2 linked regions of the Notamacropus eugenii genome follow. The protein of the gene in region 2 interacts with the protein of the main gene of each other region in a biochemical or structural test. Links are inferred from orthologs where the notes say so. Each region holds a gene or a part of one and is shown on either strand. Other genes may lie near its edges.

What was found.
Region 1: the proteins of GJD2 (region 2) and LNX2 form a complex in vitro, tested with the Homo sapiens proteins (2 studies listed by BioGRID and IntAct, with this or other methods). The link is inferred for Notamacropus eugenii from reciprocal best matches to the Homo sapiens genes GJD2 and LNX2.

The regions. Positions count from the first base shown.
Region 1 is NC_092876.1:195,750,966-195,763,099, forward strand, and holds the start of LNX2 (ligand of Numb protein X 2), read right to left. Parts: upstream 6,748-12,134; 5' UTR 6,609-6,747; intron 5,964-6,608; 5' UTR 5,791-5,963; intron 1-5,790. Other genes in the region: protein POLR1D, read left to right, coding at 7,581-7,894.
Region 2 is NC_092878.1:19,546,096-19,558,229, forward strand, and holds GJD2 (gap junction delta-2 protein), read right to left. Parts: upstream 5,099-12,134; 5' UTR 4,584-5,098; coding exon 4,513-4,583; intron 3,538-4,512; coding exon 2,640-3,537; 3' UTR 1,912-2,639; downstream 1-1,911. UniProt on the Homo sapiens protein: One gap junction consists of a cluster of closely packed pairs of transmembrane channels, the connexons, through which materials of low MW diffuse from one cell to a neighboring cell.

The sequences.
Region 1 (12,134 bases), on a different chromosome or scaffold from region 2:
TTGCATTTTCTGGTACATTTTATTTTGGTTACAATCTTGCTTGTGCTAATAGAGACATTAAAATGACTCAGCTGGACAGAAACAAATAAAATACATATTAGCAACCTAGAAAAATCAGGGAGAATATTGTCCAGGAAGTGATGAAAATATCTTAACTGTGTTAGGGCTTAGGTTTATAAAAGTATTTCTGCTGCTCAAAGAATGTCTAGTACTTAATTTTTTCTATATATTCCACAAATGTTACAGTAGTGTTAGCTGTATCACCTCATCAACAGAAATAAGAAATTCTTAAAACCTGGTCTATGTAACACTAATGTCTCTGTGAAGCCACTTCATCAGATGATCAGAAACATAAAACTGTTAAAGTCAATGTCCCAATTAGCACAGTATTTCTACGTCATACAAAAAAGCATTGATTAAAAAAATTGTTATTACTACCATGATAAAAGCAGTTGATTTATATAGTTCTTTAAGGTTTATAAAGGCTTCCTAACACCATAAGATAGTTCAAGTATTATCACCCTCATCTTAAAAATGGAGGTGATAATACTTCAGGTACCAACAGTTTGTTCACTGAATCACCATACTCATGATTCAAGTCTGAATCACCTTATTTCATATCCCCACATTAATTCCATTAAAACACAATGACCACTACATTGACCTCGAAAAGTTTAAGGACTTATCCTAAACATCCCTTAAACTATCATTTCTTTGCTTGTGAAGTTCCTTAGAAAGAATATTTACACAGATGTGAAAATTTAAATGACTTGTGCTTTTTAAAAAAAATCACAAATCATTCCAACACAATTTCTCAAATTATAATTTTGTGATACTGCTTGCTGCCTCCCAGTAAAATGAATAACTCACAGAATGCCAGCAAAATGTCATAAGGTTTTTTGGGGTTTGTTTTTTAAAATACCAGGGAGGTGGTACAGTTCATCAAGAGCAAGACTTGGGAGTCAAGATCAGAGTTCAAATCCAGCCTCAGACGCTTGCCAGCAGTGCGTGTGACCTTGAAAAATCAAACTGTGTCTCCCAGAACCTATCTCCCAGGATTGTTGGATCAAATTACATAAAGTATGTGCTACATATGTGTAGCAAAGTAGCATGCAAATGCTAGCAATTATAGATAGTATAAGGATAATATTCTGGTGAAAAAGGAACTCAATCATTTTATATTCTCCATGAGCACAAGCAAGATCATCCTAAATAAAATACAATGTACCAGAAAATGTAATAATGACTGAGTGGTTCTGGAAAATTACGTTTTACTCAACATAACCACAGTCAGCTAGGTGTTGAAATGGATAGAGTGCCAAGTTCTAGAGTTAAGAAGACTCATCTTTCTGAGTTCAAACCCAGGCTTACACAATTACTAGCTGTATGACCTTGGGCAAGTCACTTTAACCCTGTTTGTGTCAATTTCCTCATTGGTAAAATGAGCTAGAGAAGGAAATAGCAAACCATTTCACTATCTTTGCCAAATGGGATCATGAAAAGTCAGACATGACTGAAAAACAACTGAACAATATAACCACATAAATATTAAAACATTTCAAAAATGCATTTAAAATTAATTTATATTTTAAAACAAGAAAAGACTTAATTTTAAAATGAACACTATTCAATAAATTTACATTTGTTTTATCTAATGTTTTTCTTCCTAAAGCTTTACTCTTCCTAAAGCCACTAACAAAATTACACTGAAATCTATTTAAAATGGCATCTAGTGAGCTATAATTCTGTTTCAAGAGGGCAAACTCAATAAATCAAAATTAAGGGGTATGTGGATACTTTTATTAGTGTATATATTTTTTTAAAAAGTCAACACCTTCTAAAGTCATTGTGAAATAAATGCCAAACAATCAAGTTAGAATTATATGAGGTCTCTACATAGTATTTCCTACTGTAAAATTTCTGCATTAGCAAAAAATCCCCCCAATCTATATTCCACATCTCGATACATGTTTTATATAAGGGGAGGTTGATATTTTCTGGGTCCCTGCTAGTATTTTTCCAAATGTAGGAAGAATATCCAGGTGGGCTTCTCCCATAGCAGAATATTAGATCGATGTCTTCAAGGAATAGTCTAGAATGGTTCCCAAATCATTTTCCTGAGTTGCAACAGACAGTTAAAAAGCCTGTTACTCTAAGTATAATTTAGATTTTTTCCCTTCCCTTAAGTGTATTACCTTATACTTGTCTAATTGCTTGCCACTTTTTCTGCCCACTCACATAGCTTTGAAAGATATCTTTGCAATTAATTTGGACTGGCTTGTATTTCACTGACTAGAGTAACTTAAACTGTGCACTCCCTCTTTCAAATCATTTACAAAAACATTATATGGACATGGTTGGGTGGAGAGTTTAGGTTTATCTGTCTCCTTAGGATCAACTTTCAAAAAATGGGAATAAAGGGAAAGTAGTGTGGGGAAAGGCCAGTTTTGTGCTCATGAGGTTGACTACCACCATTACAAAACTATTAGTAAGTAGGTAGTTCTGGTCTTTAGAACCTCTTCAAAATACCTTCTGTCTCTCCCCAACCTTGTGAAGGAATGAATAAATAAGTCAAAAGCATTTAATGAGTACTGACATTTAATGAGGAAACTATTATTCATGAAGGAAAACTCAAGTGAATAAAGAATACCTATTGTCCACACCAAGATGGGCAGGTGAAGAAACAAGCTCTAGAAGTGCTCCATCAGTGTCTATCTCTTGGGACAGACACTGCAAATGTACCATGAGCCAGGTCCAGAACTCAAAAGAAAGAGTAAAACTGGCAAGATTGCATCTGGAAAATTATGCAGCATATTTAATGACCCTAAGCTGCTGCCTGAAACAAGGCTCTTCTTTTTCACATCAATATTCTCCTGGTACACTATACTATAGCTGCAAGTCACAGGATATCAGTCTCTACAGAAATAAATGTGAGGTTGCTTAAAGGGAAATGGAGATTCAGAACCAGCAAAAGCTGTCTACTGCACATTACCAAAGAACTGTTCGAATTGTAGAGCCAGTAGAGAATGAATGACCAGTAAAGAAAGTAGATCTGGTCACGTGGTCGAAGGCAGGCATAATTAACCGGTAGAGAGCTTGAAGGTCTTCCTTGGGCTTTAAGAACTGGCAAGAGATTTGCAGAAAAAGCCCAGCACCCAAGCACACTGAGTGAACAACCACGGAAGGATTTACAGAAGGACATGGATAAAGGGTTGCACATGTCAAGAAGGTATGATGAATGGGTTATGCATTACTGGAAGTAGCAATTACAACAGAGGAGATCATGGATCTGCTGAAATACTATGATATGCCTGCATTATATGCATTACTTATTTGCATATTTTCTCCTCACATACTATCTTTTCCCTTTCTGAGTGAAAAATACAAAATTTTCTTTTTCCTCCACAAAATTCTCCCACGCTCATTATCAGCATCAAAAGTCCAGATTCTGTGAAATTGGGCAAAAGCAATTAGAGATGTGTAAATTGTATTTAATTAAACCCTGCCAGTAATAACAGACAGTACTTAACCACTCACCATACTTCTTTCAACAATTCTTATCAAGACTTCAAAGACTATATTATTAAGGTAATTCTGGAAACAAAACCCATATAGGCTACTTCAGAACACTCCCTCTTATTCAAAATTCAAACCATCAGAAAGCTTAAAAAAATTTTTTTTCCAATAGTTTGAACTTCTATAAGAAAAGAAGCAAATAAGCGAAGAGATGACACCGGGGATTTATTTTTTAAAGTATACATCAATTATCAGGAAAATACAAATGTAGTCTAATTCTGGATTTATAGTCATGGTATTTTACATTAAGTGTAAATCATTAAACAATAGTTTACACTTATTACTGTACTTTATTGTATTTTAAATTCTGGAAAGACATGAGAATTAGGGGTTAGGAGAGACTTGAACCTGGTTCTGACACCTACTAGCTAAATGACCATAGGCAAGTTAACTTCTTGGAGCCTCAGTATTCCCATCTGCAAAAACAGAGACAGTCCTAGTTAAGAAGTAGTTGAGAGAATACTAAGGTTATGTGAAGAAGAAACAAAATAAATGTCCTTTAAATTTCCATTATAAAAATATGTGAAAACTGGTAGAGGCAGCATGGGTAGAGAGCTGCCAGGAAGCCAAGTCAAATTCAAGTCTCACCTCTGACCCATGCTGGCTTGTGCCATGACCTGAGGGTTAACCTCTCAATGCTTTAGGAACTCTTTAAGTCTAGAAGCTACAGAGAGGATGTGTGCTTGTAATAAATGCATTTATATAATATTTTGTTAAAAAGATACTTTATTCACCAAAAAAGCCCAGTATATTTGTACAATTCTATTTTACAAATGAACAGACTTGACATTTAGAGAGGTTAATCAACTTGCCACCGGTCATCCATCTAGAAAGAGGGGTGTTCTTACCATTCCCAACACAGAATCATGCAGAATCCTGACCCCATTCCCCCAATTACTCTAGATAAATTGGATTTTACAGTAACTCTCTTCTAATCTATTTCACCTTGCTGCCTATATGATTAAAGTTTTTCATAGTAAGCACAAAAACACAAAAACTAACAACTCAAGCATTCAACCTGAAATTCACTACAGGAGAAAAGGATCAATGGGTCTATAAACTCTATTCTAAGGGATTTGGACAGAAACTGGCATTATTTTACATTGGTTCAGACTTGACCTATATTTCACTCATAAAAAAGTCTGTGTATCTCAGGTGAACTAAAAAGGTAAAACTTTGTTATTCAAGATCTACCTGGTCTTTGACAGACAAAAAATAACAATAATAGAAACTCCTTTTCTCCCTCCACTAGCTGTGTGGCCAACGTACAGTAGACATTTGAAGTGTCTGAAGAAATTGTCTTTCAGAGTACATTTTCTAGCCTTTTCCATATGCTCATCACTTGTCACTGATTATATTAATAAAAATCTAGCTTTGTATTTAACCTATGAGAATATAGCCACAATTCAGTCAGTTAAAAAAGGGGGAGGGAAAATAAACGATGAAGGAGTCATGTATAGAGAGAAAAGCACTGATTTCACAGTAATAATATGCTAGAGCAGGCATAAGGTTAGATCATCCCCTTTCTCCCACAGCTCATGGCTTTTCTGACCAATCCTCTTGGCTAGGAGTACATGAGGATGGTTCAAAGAATATGTGCAAGACTTGGGGTAAGAGCACTGAGGTTCAAAAAACAAAAAAAACAAACCCCAGGCCATGTGTAACAGCGACCCCGTTACCTATTTGGACCTCAGTGATTTGAGTGATTTCTTAAGTATCTTTCAGCTATAATCTTTTGATCCTTCTAAGAGCTAGGAAGATGAAACTTATTTGTAAGCTTTTGCTGCTATGGAGAGTGAGGCTGAAACTCACAATTTTAACCCAGCATCAACTAACAGGAGCCTAAAATAGTTTCTTTCTCCCGCACTAAGACTGTTTCACTCTACTCCCTTTCCAGGTTCTGTGATTTTTCTATTTTTTAAAAAATACACTTCCAAGTAGCCCTGGTACACGTTTTTTAAAATGCACAGATCCTGAAAAGTAGCACCTGAAAGAAGAGTATGTAACTGTATTCATAACAGTACATAAACTGGAATGCTAAAATTCAATTCCACTCTACAAACATTTATTAAGCACCTACTACAAAATAAGCGCTGGAACCATCTTCACGGTGAGGAGGGGCCAGGGCCTGTGAATCCATTTGAATAAATTACTTATTACCAGAGAGCTCAGTCGATGCCCACCAGCACCTTCTCTGCATTCACAGCCAGTTACCTGTCCTAGAATACTCAGTCGAGGGAATTTCTACCAGTGCAAAGCTGGAAAGCCTCTGCATCTTAGAGTCCCGAGTTGTCCAGAGTCAAAAAGGTGAGGGGACTTGCGTCAGACGTGCAGCTCTGGGCTCGCTGCCCTTCAGCCTCAACAGGTAACTGTACAGCGTCTTCGACCTACGGCATCCAAGGTGGGAAGAGGTGTCACTTCTTAACGGAAGGCTCGGGGACCACCTCTGCCCTCCTCGGGGCCGATAAGATCTGGGCAGGAAGGTTTCGGGCCACTCTCCTCCACCTCCACCGCCAGCCCAAGAGGGAGGTGATAAAAAGGCAACAGGTGAGGACTGGGGGTGGGGGACCACCTCCCCGCAGCGTCCCGGAGGAAACCAGCAGGGTTGCTCCGACAGCCCACGGAGAGGCGAGGGCTCCTTCCCCAGCTTCCTACCCCGGGATAAGCGCGGTCCCGGCCTGGCCCAGGCTGACTTCTCCCGGAGCGCCCGCCGGGCACCGCCGGCAGCGAGGGCGTCCCTCCCGGGGCCAGATGGGCCAGCCCCACACCCACCCCGCGCCCTGGTCCGGACAAGTCCGAGACGGTCCTCCAGATCTTCCTCCTCCTCCACCTTCGGACAGGAGCCGCCAAGAAGAGCGCGAGGACGCGGTGCCCGGGGAAAGGGGCGCAGCGGGGACGCTCCTCCCCCCCGCCCCGGGGCGCTGGCACCTGAGCCCCGCACGCAGGCAGACAGAAGGTCGCTGCCGCCGCTGAGGCGACGACGAGAACGCCGAGCGGGAGCGAAACGGGAGGCGCAGTCCAAAGTTACTTACCTGGGAATCGAGGGCTACCCCACCGCGGCACGGCGCTCCGGAAGCCTCGGTCCGCTCGGCCGCCTCCGCCGGCTGAGGGGGGAAGAGACGTGACCCGCCTCCGCTTCACCAAAAGCCGCCGCCGCCGCAGCCGCGGGATTCCTGGCAAGAAGCAAACTCCGGCCAAGACTTCACTTACGCCTCAACCGCCCCTGCTTGCTCACATCCCGGGGGCGAGCGCCCGCGACCGAACCGCCTAACCCGACACCCGTTCTAGCCAATCAGACGCGCCTCAGGTCAGGGAGGGGGCGGAGCAGGGAGAGGCTCGCCCTATGGAAGAGCTGAGGGGGTGGGGCGCTAACCCAGCAGAGCCTCCCGGGTTAGAGTGAGTCAGCCCCGCCCCGCTGTTCCCTCCGATCGCCCCTCCCCACCCTCCGGCTCCTTGGCCCGGGCTGTCTCCGTCACTTGCCTGATTTCCCTGCAGAAGACTGGCTCGGAGGCTTCCCCGGGGCTCTGGCCATGGGGAGTGGAACAGCTGGGGGGAAGAGTCACATGTGTGAGGGGGAGGAGAACAAGTGGGGAAAGGCGTGGGGAAATGTGGAAATGGGAGAAGACAGCTGGAGCAGGGAAAAGAGCAAACAGGGGCGGAGGTGGAAACGAGGGAAAGGGCTCAAGCACGTGGGAAAGAACACCTGAGGGAGAGAAAAGGGAAAGGGGAGGCTGGCTGGAGAAAAGGAACAATACGGGAAAGGGAAGGAGGTACGGGGGTGTGGGGCTCCGGGGCTCCGGAAAAGAAGGGATTCCCAACGGAGGACAGAAGAGGAAAAGGAAAGAGACAAATCTTGATAAGAGATGAGGGTTTCGGGGGTCAGGACAGGCCCCGAGGAGAAAGGATAGAGACCAGACCCCAAGTCTCCGCCCAAGCTTAAACGAGACTCGTCCAACTGCCCAAGCTGAGCCTCGAGGCAGGGACCGGATCCCCTCAGGAGACCCATGCAGACACTCTCCTTAGCCCCCGACGCAGCTGATAAAGCGAGCTGGGATTCCCACCCCGGCTTGTCCGCGTGCATTTCGGAGAGGAGCCTCGGCAGGGCTCCCCACGAGGAGGGGGGCGGGCGCGGGGGAGACAGTTGGGGGTGGGCTGGTGGAGGCCTGGGGGAGGGGATCCTCGCCCATTCCCGGATAGGTGCTTTGTGGGGAGGAGGGTCACCTGAGGCGGGGGCTGAGTACCCCCCAAGGTGCCCGGCTGCAGGGAATAGGAATAGTAACGAGCCCTGCCTTTGGAGGAGGGGGAAAGATCCCGCCAGGTGAGGGAGAAGACCACTCCCAAGCGAGGAGGCAAGGCCGGGTCAGGAGAGGGGATTACCCCAAGCAAAGGGGGAGGCCCCGCCGGCGGGAGAGGAGGGCGGGCTAGAAGATAAAAAATCTCTCTGCGGACTAGCGGAAAGGGAGGGGCTCGCCAGGTGAGGGGCGGCCGCTCCCCCGGGCGGGGGCGGGGGCAGAGCCGCCAGGAGGCACCGCCCCTCGGCCGGGTCCTCGCCTCGCCGCGCCGCCGCGGCTCCTCCTCCGGCTCCTCCTTCCTTCCTGCTCAGCCCGCGGGGACCGAGGTATGGGGCACATCCCTGGGGCCGCCCCCGCCACCTGAGGAGCCCGGAAGCTGCCCTCGGCCGCGCCATGGAAGAGGACGAGGAACTGGAGAGGTAACGGTCTGGACAGCGGCGGGTTCTGAGCGGAGGAGGGGAGGACGCCCCGGGGGGCCTGTGGCCCCGGCGTCCGCCTGTGCGGGCCTGGGGAGGCGAAGGGACGGGACGGGACGGGCAGCCTGGGCTGGAGGGGGGGCAGGGAGAGAGGAAATGAGAATCGGTGCCCCCCCCCCAAAAAAGGGAAAGGACACAGTGCTGCGTGTGGGAGGGGAGGAGGAGAAAGATGGGAAAAGTGGTGGGGCTCACTCTCGGGTTTTATTATTGAGAAACGCGGACACCCTGAGATTCCAGAGTAGAATGAATGTGGAAAAAGCAGCAGAAGGAACCGATGGACCCTAGTGCGCATTTATTGCGTGGATAAATGGCTTTCCAGCTAACTCCTACAACGTACATGTTTCTGGTGATTGAAATATTTGGAAAGTATGGTCCCTACCAGGCTCAGGTTTTTATATGGAAAACGGCCTTTGAAGGCTTGCCATGCCTTGGGAAAATGATTGTGATAGCTTCCATAAGGATAATTGGGGTGGGGGGTGAAGGGAGAGGGAAAACTAATTCAGGAGTTCTTCCTTTGGCCCACCAAGAACTTGGGTGGTTTTTTGGTTCATTTTGGGGTAACTGTATTTCAGTATCATTGTTTTCTTGTGTAATCCTGTGTGTAGTTAATTATTTAAAAACATCAGAAGGGCTCCATAGGCTTCACCAGACTGCCAAAGGGGATTCATGACAAAAACAGTGAAGAACCTTTGCCTTAGGAAGAGATAGTTGAATTTTGTTGCTCGAATGATGTTGCATGAAGGGTTGTGGAGGCATGAACTAGGAGAAGGTGGAAGGTTGGTAGAAGTTTCAGACCACTCTCGCTCACCCTTGTTCTTTAACTCTGCTCCCAATCAACAAGCATTTATTTACCTCCTATGGGTCAAGCACTGGGGGTACAAAGAAAGGCTAAAGACAGTTCTTGTTCTCCAGAAGCCCGCCACACACAGTCTAATGGGGTAAAGAAAATGTGACAATTATGTACAAGTAAGATACATAAAGAATAAATTGGGCATAATCATAGATACTGTGATTAAAGAAAGACTTTTTGCAGAAAGTGAGACTTTGAAGGAAACCAGGAGTCAGAGATAGAGAGCCAGCCATGGCAGGCGGCCAGTGAAAATGCCTGGTTGAGTAGAGGATGCAGTGAAGTGGGCAGAGACTTGAGTCAGGAAGACCAACCAGCAAGCTATTCTAGGGGTGAGGCAAAAAAGGCTTGCCTTGGGTGATGGCAGCGTCAGAGGAGTGAAGGGGGCATATGCAAGAAATACTACAAAAGTAGAAGTGACAGGACTTGATTAACAACTGATTGGATATGAAAGGAAAATGGAGTCAAGAATGACAACTTAGTTGTGAGCCTGAGTGACCAAAGAAAGGTGGTGTGCTGAATGATAATAAGGAATTTTGGAAGGAGGAGGACTTACAGAGAAAAATAATGATTTCAGTTTGGGGCATATGAAATTTAAGTTGTTTACAGAACATCCAGTTTGAAGTGTCTAATAGAAAGTTGGAAAGATAAGAGAGACTAGGCTGGACAAATAAAAGGGGGAGGGAATAAGTATCTAGCTTGTCAGGCACTGTATGAAGTATTTTTTACACTTACTTAATCTCAGATGATTGTCATGTATTAAATCTCATAAATATCTCATAGTTCATAAATAGAGCTGAGTGTCATCTGGATAGAGATGATAATTGACCCAGCCCAGGAGAGAGATGGAAAAAGGCTACAGGTTTAGGGGAAGAAAGGCTACAAGTTCACCTGTTAGTCACCTCTGTTCTGCAGTGTTATACTCAGCCCATTTTTAGTCAAATGATTAAGTTAGAAATCTTAAGGTAAAAATTGCATGTTTAGGGAAATTATGGTTACACAGCTTACACAGTTACACAGAGTTTGTTAAGATGTACCAGTATCTTGTCAAGCCAAAAAAAACAAACCCCAATACTGTTCTTAATGATTTCCTCCATTCTAGATTCTTACTGAAGCTTGGCCCCTTACACTTGATTTTCTCTTAGTTATATCCTGTTTCTATACCTAGTCCAAAGTAGTACTTACTCTACCTTGGAATATTGAGGAAATCAGTTCTATACTCTTTGGACTTTGAAGGCTTTTATTCCCTCCATATGGTAACTTATTAGCCTCCTCCTTCCTTGGTTAATGCTTAGTTATCTTTCTCTGATTCCTCACATTCTTTGTTCTTTTCTTGCATATCTCTGCCTCTAGTTTCCCTTAACTGATATTTCTATACCTTTATTGTTCTATTTCTATAACAAAGCTAGGCTCTACCCTCCATCTTGTAATTTGCTTGCTTGTGTATAGTTTGCCAAAGCAAAAAATGGGTCCATCTAATTCCATCCACTGAGAACAAGGTCTATTAATACAATCCTGATGAGTGATAAGACATTGACATATTAGATGAATATCAAGCCTTTATCGTTGTTCTGCCTTCAGTGGTAAAGGTAAGGAAGCACATTAGGTTTTGTTAAGAAGCAAGCATTGAGAGTTTCCTCCCAGAGCTCCCAACAACCTAATATCTCACCAAGTCACATATTAAGTCAGGCAGGTTATGGCAAAGTAGATAGAATGTTGGGCCTGGGGTCAGGAAGACGAGTTCAAATCCATCCTTAAACACTTAACTAGTTTTGTGATCCTGGGCAAATTATTTAACCTTTGTTTGCCTCAATTTCCTCAAATGTAAGATATTAGTAGCACCTACCTCACAGAGTTATTGTGAAGAACGAATGAGATAATATTTGTAAAAAGCCCTTAGCAGAGTGCCTGGCACATATTCACCTTATTATAATTATTATTATGCTTATTCCTCCCCACTCCCAATTTCATAGGTAACATCATGTTATTAGGATGCCACATAACAGAAGATAAGTAGCTTTGACTTTGTTAGAAGGAGGTTCTACTAGGTACTAGACTTTGTAGATCTGATTATCAATCAACAAATATTAAGTGCCTCCTGTTGTCTGGGAATAGATATAGGGACCATCCATCCATCAGGGAGTTTACAGTCTCCTGGGAGGAGTGTCTGCTTGTCCCTGTAGAGCTAAAGATGCTTGGTTGTCCCAGCGATTATGAAAACAACAATACTCTTAACACCTTAATTTTGTATACGAGAATGTGAGAGGAAAAAATACAGACAATTGCTATTTGCCACTAAAGGCAGTGACTAGAAGTGGGAGCATGAAGAATGGACACTGGACTCAAGAGTTAAAAGATCTGGGTTCCAATGTCTGTCGCTACCTCTTTGACCTTAGGCAAGTCATCTCACCTCACTGGGCCTTAGTTTCCTTTCTTTTGTGTGAGGATGTTGAAGTAAATAACTTCTGAGATCCCTTCCAGATCTGGACCTATGACTTCATAACAAACTATATTTGAATCATGAAAAATAGCAAATAGTCAAAGTATGAGAAAAGCATAATCAATAAGTTTAATGTTTTTGGAGAAAATAAATTTAGATCCATACCTTATACTATGTACCATAACATAGATCAATGAATTAAATTTCAAGGTATATTCGTTTCCATTCAGACTATATTCATTAAGCACATATTGTTTGTCACTCACTGTCTATATAAAGACAGAAAGAAGCCCATCCCTCAAACAACTGATGGATGATCTACTGGGAGGAAACAACATGTGCATGATACTCTACTAAATGTACAAAGATGGAGAAATAACAAAATGTCTATCCTCAAGGAGTCTGTAATATACTAATGGGGATAAGGCACATACAATCAGCCAAATACAAAGCACAATATGATACAGTAAAGGAGAGGTGTAAGAATTAGGAGGAAGAGGCCA
Region 2 (12,134 bases):
GAGAGTTGCTTTCTCCAAGGAATAATATTCTTGGGAACCCCATTTATATTAAAGATGAAAGCATATCTGTTAGACTATCCACATTTTTCTTTCTAAAAAATATCACACTATGAATTAAGGATGAAATAAGATTCTTCTGTATTTATATAAAAATCATCTAAGAAATTCCATGGGAGCTTTGCAATGAATGACCAAACCAAATTTTAAATAAATCCTAATAACAGCTCACAAATTTTTAGCACTCTATAATTGCAAAGGGATTGTATATACATTATCTGATTTGATACTCATAAGAATTCTGGGAATTGGGTAATACATCTATTATATATATGTATGTATGTGTACATGTATGTGCATGTGTCTATATGTATATATTGTATATATATACACAAATTTCAGAGTATTACACACAAATATATATGTATGTATATATGCATATATATGTATATACATATATTATATATGTATATATATATGTATATACACACACAGGCCCAAAGAAGTTGTGACTTGACCAATGAATTGAAGAGCTAAGACTCAAACCAAGTTTTTTAACTTTGAATCAGAAAACTTTTTTCAATACCCTGCCAAGTCCACTGAACCTGATATCACACACTAGTGAAGAATGGAAAGCTCTAAAATGTGGGATATTTTCAGACAGCAAAGAAACATTCCCTTCTGAAATATCCTAACATAAAATAATGGATTAAAAGGCAGATGAAGTTTTCTTTGTTTTCCAGGAAAGAGTGAAGTTGGGAATGTGGGGCTTGGAAGAAAAAATCTTGAGGTCTACCATGTCTTCTCCACAGGTCTGTTATAGCAGGGTTAAAGTGGTGGAAACAGAGACAATTCAACTCCTTGAACCAGTTCCTAATGACTGACTCATGATATGTTACTGGCACATATGTTAAGAGAAGTTTTGTCAATGTTTTGTCCCCCAGAGAGCATGCAGAGGGAAAAACAAAATGAGAAATTAAACATGAGGTGTCTCACAATTATAAGACCTCACTGCTAACCCTTACCCCCAATGTCACAAAATACACTGGTCTCCAAAATATTTCTCATGCTTGAGTGATTGTTTGGGATTTGAGGTCACCATCAAATAAAGTTGATTAAACTGTCCTCTCTTCCCAGTTCTCTGCTAAATATAACAGTTTCAAGATTTCTATAAAAAAAAAGAGGCCCCAGCCAAGGAGAAAGAAAGCTCAGAAAGTTCTATTTTTACAAAAAAAAGGCAAGTCCTTTATTTGAGATGGATCACTGTTGTATGTTACACCATTGTCATAGCTAAATCAAGGGTCATAATGTAAAGGAAACAAAGGGTTTCATAAAAACATATTACTCCAAATGGTACCCCTGGCCAACTCTTTGATTAAATACATAGTGAAATATTCAAGGTTATTATATGGCACTTAAATTAATAAGAGCAGAGAGAAGGTAACATTTATTCACAGTCCAAAGCAATAACTTTTGAACCTTTGGTATATGTCTCAAATAAATATCAATAAATACATGTCAGTTAACTGGATAGTATTTAGTTCCAGGTTACTTAGGCCAGTGCTAGGGGTGTGCGTGTGTGTGTGTGTGTGTGTGTGTGTGTGTGTGTGTGTGTGTGTGTGTAAAGAATTGACAAAGTTGATAAATCCAGAATTCACATGGGATGATTAAGGTCTCTGGTGTGAGCACACAGGCAAATCCAAAACATGGCAAAAATCAAGCGCTGTAGTGCTGTGCAAGAGAACTACATTAGAAAACAAGAAGTGAGATACACCAAGGTACAAACTCTGTGGCTCTGATAGACTTCCAAAATTTAAAAAAAAAAAAAAAAAGGACACTCTCAAAACTTCATGAGCTAGGCAGAAGGGATGTCCTCGGCTCATGATTCAATTCCAAACAGTGCAGCAACCCTCATATAAGTATTTTTGTATTTGCATATTACAATACCCTTCCCACCCACCCCTTTCCCCTAATAAACAGCACCAGTGCAGTTTGAGTTAGAAAATTGGAAATCTGAGACATTCTACAGGTATTCATCATAAGTAAGGACCAATCAGTCTGGGCTCAAATGCAAACCTCTTCAATAGCCAGTCCTAACAGCACACCCCAAACAATTCCCTCTAGTTGACTGGTAAGAAAGCCATAATAGGTATGCTGTAAGGTCATACATAGAAAAAGCTGGCAAGCTGTCCCAGGGTGTTGGGGAGGGGCTTGCTGGTGGAGAAGAGGAGCACTTTAGAGATGCCTGTCCTGTTTTCCAGGAAGAGGGGATAAACTGAGGAGGTTGATCACAATTTTTATACCAAGAAAGTATTTCACTCCCACCATTCACCAATGTCCCGGGCTCAGCCAAAGCTCAATGTGATCCTAACCAGTAACCTTTTGTGTCCGTTTCTAGTCAGGTCATACCAACCCATGGGGTAAAGAGGGCCCATTTCCACATGAAGCCTTTTCTTTACCCAGCTGACTCTATAGAGTCAATGGTGTATCATTTGCCCGTGTTTCTACTGGATTGGAGTTCTTTTCCCCTTCTTGAGGCCATGGTCTAAAAGTTTCTCTGCAAGCAGCCCTATCCCACTTTTGGATGGAGAGAGTGAAGCTACTTGCTATCTCCCCAAGTCCTCCCCACCCCATCTATCCTTTCACACATAGGCAGAGTCACTTGATTGAGTCCTGCCAAAATTGGGAACACTGACCCGAGGCAGGTCCTTGTTGCGGATCTCATAGACAGACTTCCTCTTGGCCTGTGCACCACGCACAGCCAGCTTAATCTTGCGCCAGCCCAGGTGGTTGAGTTCAGCCAGATTGAGGACAACACAGATGCCACTCACAGCAAACATGAATACGAGGAAGACTGTCTTCTCTGTGGGCCGGGAAACATAGCACTCTACCTCCTTGATACAGGGGTAGCGGTCACATTCATACAGTCCAGGGACACTGAAGCCATAAAGGAAGTATTGGCCTACCAGGAACCCAATTTCTAGGGCATTACGGAAAACCACCTGGATGATGTAGAAGCGGGAGATGCCCTCTTGCCGACGGAGCTTGGAGCGTGCTGCTGTGCGCAACCCTGATGGGTGTGGGGCCAACTCCTTCACCTCTAGACAGTCTGGCTCGTTCTCCTTGCTAGTATTCTCTGTGTTCTGTAGTACTCCATTTACAATGGCATTTTGAAGCTTCTTATTGTCTTCTCGCTTTCCCCCACCACTGCCCCCACCCCCAGCCCCTCCAGGACCCCCAATCGATTCAGGAGGGTCCCTGTCCAGGGCGAGGAAGACAGTAGAGTAACGGCGTTCCCTCTGTTTGGCAGACTGATGCACTGAGTAAGTGATGAAGCAGAGGCTAGGGGTGCACACCATGATGATCTGGAAGACCCAGTAGCGGATATGAGAGATGGGGAAGGCTCGGTCATAGCAGGCTTGGTTGCAGCCTGGCTGCAGGGTATTGCACACAAACATGGTCTGCTCATCATCATACACAGTCTCACCCACTATGGCCACGATGAGGATCCGGAAGATCACCACCACTGTCAGCAGGATCCTGGGAGGGAAGTAGGGAGGGAGAAAGAAAGAATGTCATGGGCTGAGAGTCACTCAGTGGCCTGCTGCTGGCTTAGGGATCCCCTGCTCCTCCCATCCCATCCCTGGTGTTTCCCTGGTGCTTTGGCTGAGGAGCTGTCCACCATTCAGTGGTCCTGAACTAAGAATCTGAGAGCAATTATGCTTTCAGCTTTCTGACCATCTGGGATTTGTACACCTCCGTTTCAGAGGTCCCGAGTATATACGCAAATATTTTGGAGACGTGTGTATATGCAAGAGATTCAGATACATCTATACATAATGCATCTCTACATAATACATATATATTCATTATGTATATGGCATAGACACACAATTACATCAAATGCAAACTAGGGATATGTATCGTGTGAATGGACTCCATAAATGTTCATTCTCTATGTAAATATTATCCCTAATGTTATATTTAAAATAGTCTATTTATATGTATAAACACACAAAAATAATCCTGGTGTATGTGTGTGTTTCTCACACTATAAGCTTTCTTGAATAAATCGAGGAAAGAAGCTTCAGCCTCAAAGGATGACTCCATCTCCCTCTTCGCCCTTCTCTCTCCAAACACCATACTCCCTTCCAGCTTCTATTTAGGAAACAGAAGGGAGATCAGCTCTGACTCGGAGCACTAGGGGACCCAACAACCTGTGCCCAGAGTTCCGGTTCTGATGGGGGAAGAGTTACCCCATGGAAGGGGCCTCCCAGCAAGAGATCAACTTTCAGGAAGATCCCGGGGAGAGAAGGAAATAACTGGAAGAGAGAGGGGCAGTTCTGGGCTTGGGATGGTCCCGCCATATCCAGAACCCATGGGCCCAGGCAAGAGGGAGGGAAAGACGGGGGAGGGGAAGGGGCGCGAAAGAGGACTCGAATCGGTGAGGAAAGGGGGCCATGGGAAGGGGTGGACGCTGTGAGGCTCTGGTCCAGCGCGGCTTGGCTCCCTTACCTCCCAATCATAGTGGAATGTTGCTGTACGGCGGCTTCCAGCAGCCTCTCTAAGATGGTCCATTCCCCCATCGCTGTGCATTCGGAGGCAGCAGACAAAGACTGGGCAGCGCTGGGCACGTCCCTGCTCCTGGCCCCCTCCCCAGTCACCACCCGACAACGGGGGCTAAAGACCAAAAATAAGAGCAAAATAAACCTAATCCACTACTCTTCCCCCTCCCTCCCTTTTTTCTTTTTCTTTTTTTCACTTAAAAGAGAGGGGGGAAATCCAAGCGAGTCCAGAGAAATGGGGTAGCAGCTGGTGCTGTCCAGGGACTAGGGCACCAACCGGTCAGTTGCTGTCCAGCCTGGGGAAGATTCCCTGTGTGGCTTCGTCCAGGCAGGGGGTGGGGGCGACTGGGAGAATGTACTGGTCACTAGGCTGCTGCTAGCTGGAAAGAGATCTCTTGCTCCTGTTTCCCAGTCGGGTGGGTTGGGGGGGAACCAAGGTCCCTGCCTTGTCTCTGTGTCCCAGGGCAGCCCGACCCTTGTCTTGCAGCCTCAAACAGTGCAGGCTGGTGCCTTACTTCCCGCCTCCGAGGCCGGGCCGGGATCGCGACCCTGAATGCACAGAGGGAGCAGACTGGGAATCCGCGTCTTGCCGCCTCTAATCCTCCCTTAAGTAGTCTCTGCTTGCGTCACTCCAGGTTGGTGGAGGGGAGTGAGCGCCGGCGTGTTGTAGCTGCGCTCCCAAGCCCGAGGGGCTGGGGACTTGTGGAAAGGCAGGAGAAGGGTGGGAGAGAGGGAGGAGGCTGAGTCTTGGGTGTCCCAATTGAGCGAGGGGGGAGGGGGCAGGGAGTAGGGAGGAACCATCTCAGCTTCCCTAACTGGCCAACTGCAGCTTCCTCCTCGCTAAGCGGCTCAAAGCATTCCCTCCCTGCCCGCCCAGGTAGCACCGGGAGCTCACCTGCCCGCCAGACTACGCCTGTAGCCAGGGAGAAGATGGGAATGGGAGGTGAGGAGCTTGGGGCCATGAGTGAAGGGATGAGGGCAACTGTGTCTTTTCTTCTCAACCATTCATTAGTATTCAGCCCCATTTTTCTCCTTTCATCTAGTGTACGCACAGGGGGCTCAGAGTTGGGATTTCCCCTCGAAAGACGCACGAATGGGGCTGATTTAAAAGCTCTAGCAAGGATGCAGGTAATCGCTGTCTGTGAACAGGGCTGGAAATAAGGGGCTCCGTGGGCCTGTGGAGATTTGGCGACATAGGTGCGAATACCCTTAGGGGGACAGTGAACGTAGCTGTGAACGGGCCTGTGTGTATGTCTATGGCGAGAGAAGTATGTGTCCACTTATGTATATGCATATGTCTATCTGAATGGGTACTAACGTATGTACAGTGCAGTGATTGTATGTGGACGCCCCCTTATTTATGTTAATAGGAGAGCTAAGGAACAGAACCACTTCTGACAGATTGTGCATAACCACCCTCCTAATTTGGACAAGGATAGGCACAAACTTTGTCTAAACCGGACATATAGCATCACTCCTACTTGCTTCTTTCTCTTTTTGCACACCCACTGCCTTCCCAAATAAGCCCAGCTTAATTTCTGAGCCCCTATTTGCTTTGGGTTGCCAGATCTGCCTCTGTAAAATGTTCAATTAGCGGCTAGGAATTCTTTCACACCAGGATGCTCGTTAGCTTAAGGCTAGACATTTGAAGATATTGATAGTTTTCAAAGTTTTGGAGTATTTTCCACCAGCATAAGAAAAGAAAATGCTTGGTGTTCCTACTCTTAAAAGAAGCCTTGTGAATGTGTCAGCATTTCTTCTTAGAAGCATAATGCTCTCAGAATTGTTTCCATCTATATGGGAGATCACATACATGTGTGGCTTAAACCACACAGAGAAGAAAGAATTACGAGTCTTTTAGTTGCAGCAGACCCTGAACTTTGTTTTAGGTAACAATCTCAGACTTTTGAGATAATGACAATTCTGAAGCATAGACTCAGTATAGAAAAAGGTTTTATTTGTACATGACTTCAGGCAAAAGGAAAAATCATTTCAAAACCTAGGGAGCTTCATTTTTTCTGTTCTCCCCAGAGTTAGCTACTATTGTTGTTTAATATTTGATAACGTAAGAGCACTTTCACAGCAGTTCACACAAGAAAATAAAGTAGAACTAGAATAGGGAAGATGTAAATGAAACATCAAGTGATGATTATGAAGTTAGAGTGGATATCCTTCACTGATCTTTTACTTCTTTTGTCTCTGACAAAATGGGGCTTTAATAAAACCCTGCTCCTGATGACTGTTGAAGGACTTGATGTGTTTTGATTCTCACTTTAAGGCATCAAATGTGTTGGTGAAGAGGAAATAATGACTGCAAAGAGCTAGAATGACTTCGTCAAAAACAGATCATGTCAGACTAACCTTATTTCCACTTTTGACAGGATTACTAAAGTATTAACTCAGGAGAATGCTGCAAATATAGTTTATGTGGATTTTTTACAAAGCATTTTAAAAAATGTCCCATTCTATTGTAGGAAAATGGAGATATATGATCACATGATAATTCAGTTATATGAATCAGAGACTCGTTGATTGGCCGCATTCAAAGATTAATGGCTAATAGTTGGATCAGCTTAGTAGAAGGTGTCCAGGGAAGTGTCTCGGGAATCTGTGTTTGGTTTTGTGCTATTTAACAACGTTTTTATCATTAATTAAAGGCAGAGATAGCATATTTATTGAATATGCAGCTAACACAAAGTTGGTAATATTACAAAGAAAAATTAAGACTCAGAAAGACCTTCATAGGCTAGAGGAGTGGTTTAAATATAATCAGATGAAATTCAATAGGGACAAATACAATGATTCATTCTTGAATTCAAATAAATCAGAAGTTTAGCGTGGGAGAAACATTCCAAGATAGCAATTTGCCTAAAAAAAGACCTGGGGATTTTGGTGGACCACAAGCTCTATATGTGTGAATAGTGTAATATGGCAACCAAAAGAGCTTATGTAATCTTGGGTTACATTAAAAGAGGCGTAGCCTCTAGTAATGAGGAGATCATAGCGCCATCAATTTAAAGTTGGAAGGTACCTTAGAGGTTATCAAGTCCAACCCTATTATTTCAAGAATAAGGAAATCAAGTCCCAGAAAGTCAAAGTGACTGGTCACACAGGCAATGGAGCCAAGATTCACATTCAGGCTCACTAACTCTGTGATTCCCTGTCCTTTCCACTGTACCACACTAGCTCTGAACAGTTCCTCTATATTCTTGCTGGTCAAACCACAGATGAGTATTGCGTTCAATTAGCTCTGGATGCAACTGTTTAGTAAAGATATTGGTAAGTTGGAGAGCCCTTAGAGAAGGACAACCAGGGTGCTGGAAGGCTTGGAGTGTAGGTAACGTAAGAATCAATCAGAGGAATGCAATGTATTTACCCTGGATAAAGGAAGATTTGGAGGTGGAGGAGGGTGAGGTAGAGAACATAATAGCTGATTTCATGCATTTGAAGGACTGTCATGTGGAAGAAGAATTATATGGACCCAGAGATTAGAATCAAGGACAATTTCACAGAAATTTCATAGAAGCAAATTTAGGGTTGATGTCAGGAAAAATTTCTCCACAATTAAAGCTGTTCAAAATTGGAACAGGTTGTCTCATTGGTTTTGCCTTCACTGGAAGTCTTCAGTAAAGCTTTGTTCAGTGAACATTTGTTGGGTATGTGATAGTGGGATTGCTGCCAGGGTTCCTTCCAATTCTACAATGTTGTGATTCTTGTGCTTCTTCAACTAAGACTCCTAGAAAGATTCTCCAACATTCTCTTTTCCCATTTTATCCCTGTTCTCTGGTTCTCCTGTTTGGAGTATGTTTTGATGAAAGGGATTTCAGTAAATGGGAACAAGTAGGTAAAAAAAGGTAAAGAAAAATAAATCAAGGATAACCTGAAGTAAAAGTAGTGGTAATATTTTTATCTGGTTGTGACTGAGAGTGTTAGAATGTAATGCATGATACATTGATCATTATATAAATATATGTAGTTATCATTTCATGTATTTGAATGTGGTCCTAAGAACATTCATTTTGTCTCAGTTTGTGGTTTCATCAGGGAATCTTCTCAATGTAGAAACTCCCTCCCTTGATATAAATCAGATACTCATCTGTAACTTATCATCCTAGGGGCTGAGATAGACTAACTTCTCCATGATCCCACAAAAGGTATATGTCAGAAAAAGGACAGGAACTCAACTCATCCTGATTTCAAGACTAGCTCTCTATCGATTACTTCCCATAGACTATTAAAAAGATATATATCTCTATTTATACATGCAGAGAATTTTAGTTTCCAAGACCACTCATCTGATATGACATGAAGTCAACTGTGTTTACATAAGCCAACAATTTGTATCCCACCACACATAAAGTTTGCAAAGATATTAATTTATAGTGTTCTATGGCAACTGTGGTCTATGTCCTTCCTTGTCCTTCCTAGGATAATGAATTTAGTATAGAAAAGCACCTCAACAAAATTTAGAATAGAAAAACACCTCAGTAGTACAGGTCCAACTTCTTCATTTTGTAGAGTAGGAATCTGAAGTCCAGAGAGGTTAAATAGTTTGCTGAAAGTCATAGAGCTAATAAGAGTCTATAGGAGGATTTGAAGCCAGGTCTTAAGTTTAGGACTCTTCACAACAATGTAATGGTCATTCTCATCTTCAGTTTAAAACTCTGCTCATACTGCAGTATCTTAGTCTGCTATGTAGTTAGATTGGCAAGCTTTGGAGTTTGTCCATTAGTATACCTATCTTGGACAGACACTTCAAATAGACAATGAGCTAAGTCCAGGATTGAACAGGAGCAGAGCAGGTCTTTGGAAAATTGTCATGTTCTCTTACTAATGCCTTGATTCTATCCAAAACAAAGACATCATTTTAACACCAATATTCTTCTGGTATTGCCATATAGCTGTGAGTTATTGAACACTACAGTCTCCAAAGAATCGAAGCTAAGATCACCCAAAGAGCAGTGGAAAGGCAAATGGGAGTTGTGAGCTGGCTATAGCATATTATGAAAAACAAGCATACAGAAGAAATGTTGCAACATGTACAATCAAAAAAATACGTGATAACAAAAGATGGGCTGATCACATATTGATAGTGAGGCATAACCAATGGCTGACCACATAAGCCATTGGAAGCCTTGACATTACTTCAGAGTATACAATGCCATTCTAACTTTCCTGCCCCTTTTTGCTTACCTTATCTCTTTTCAACATAGCATATACACTCTCTTGCCTCCTATGATCTTTTCAATGTCTCTCTTGTCAATCTTGTCTTTTTTTGTGGGGAAAAATGCTTCCCATATTTTACTTACTCTATGATACCTTGTGTGGTAGATAAATGTAAACAGTTTTTCCAGTATAAAGTCTTTCTGTTTAGATTTTCAAGACTTCAGGAAAATATATTCATAATAGCCTCTGTTAGGTTACTCCATCCCTGGTCAGGAGCCCACCATCTTATTAAAATATAATCCATGGTCTAGAAATTCAAATCCCATTCTCAAAGACCATCTCCTTAACCAGGTGTTCATTTCCCAAGTCTGCCTTCCTTTTTCTGAAGCCTTCCTTTAAGCTGTAATAGTGACAAAAATACTACTTTTCTACTAAAATTTCCAGTTTCTAACTCAAGAATGCACCGGGCCAGGGATGTTCAATCAGGAGGCTGCTCTCTAACACTACATTCCTTATTCTCTGCTTCTAAAGTCATCTAAGTTTATATGCCTTTGGTTAGGTTAATCCTTGAACTAACCAGAACATTATCTTGGATAGTGAGTGTTGGGTTGGAACACAAATGAGAAGCAATTTCTAAAAGCTGAAATTTCCTCTGGATACAACTGTCCCTGTGAAAAGTCAGTGTTTGCAGCCTCCCTGGGTTTATGTGACTTGGGACTGTGTGTTATTTGGGACTGGCCCCTGTGCTCAAGTTATCCACATTTCATTCATAAACAGCCAGGATTAAGCAAGATTTATCCTCTGCTGTGGCCTACATAAGTCTGTTTCCTAATGAAACCAGCAAATTGCCTCCTCAAAAGGGGCAAACTTGTCCTGTGATATTAAAAAGAAAATGGTATTATCATAGAGAGCATATGAAGATGATACTTGTTTCCACAAGCAAATGTTTCTTTTTGCAGAATGATTTTCTTGGGTAAATTGTCTAGTGGAAATGGCATTGGATTTGGAATGAAGACCTGGGCTTACATTCTCTAGCTCAGCTACTTACTATCTGTGTGACTTTGGGCATGCAATCTCTCATTTTCCTCACCTGCAAAATGAGACAGTTGGACTAAATGATCTCTGAGGAACCTTCCAGGTCTGAATCTACATTTCACTTTCATCTTCCTTTAGGAATGAACATTGCAATTGCTGTTCAGATTTTTTACACATCACCATTTCACACAAAAAGCAGGTAGCTAACCAGGATACTAATCTATGAAAGCACCATGTATGTACATGTATATGTATATGCATGTGTCTATGTATATATGTGTATGTTGGTTGGTTGATTGTGGTCCCTATCAAGAAATGAGAAAGCCAAGACTCTTGTCTAGGGCAAATATATACTGTATGAAGGACTGTTCAATAGCAAAAAAAGGTGAAAGAATCCCAAGTTTGTTTTAGGTTCTATGTTGCTCCCATATCTGTGATGCTCACACTAACCCCACCAGTCCAGGTTATCAGGGTGGGTCCTCAAAAAGCTTTCACTTCCTTCTTTCTACTTGTTCCTTTCATCCCAGGGTTCCCAAATACATTCTGAGATTGACTCCTGCCTCAAAGAGCCCATATATCAAAGCTCTGGGGCTGAGAGGGTTTGCAGAGTTGGTTCTCTATGTTCTTCCCTAATCACGTGTGCTCTCAGTTCTACTGGCTTCTTCCCTTTACTACTGCTTGTCTCCTATTCCCTGACTGTCTAGACTTTGGACCTGACACTATACACACATGCACACACACATGTACACACATTTACATGTATGTACACATACATACATACACATATACACAGCGATGTGTGTACACATACATATACATACATATATGTGTGTATAGATATACATGTGTTTTTATATGTCTATATATATATACACATACATATATGCACATACATATATTACAAATGAAAGGTAATCTCAGAGGAAGAGGACTGGTGCATTACTGGGTTACCAGAAAAAGCTACTGCAAAAGGTAGAACTTGAGCTGAATCTTAAAGGAAACCACAGAAACTGGGAGCCAGAATTGAAGAGGGAGAGACATGGTGGTCCACTAGTGCAAATGTACAGTCAGGAGTGAACAATAATAAAAACGGAGCATCACAACTGGACTGAGGAGTGAACTAAGGTGGAGGAGGACCAGAAAGGTAGAAAAGGACCTTAGAAACCGTTGGAGAAAATTTCAGTTTTAAATTCCTAGGTACTTTTAAAGCTTTTTAAAGTATAATTTGTATGTTGCTGTGAGAGAGAAAAATTGCATCCCTTGCTCTACTTTCTGTATTAGTCAAAAATGTATGCGACTCTTTAAAAGACAACACATGCAGATACCCATGTATGTGGAGACAGTGCCTTAGGGTAGTAATATCTTGGGTAT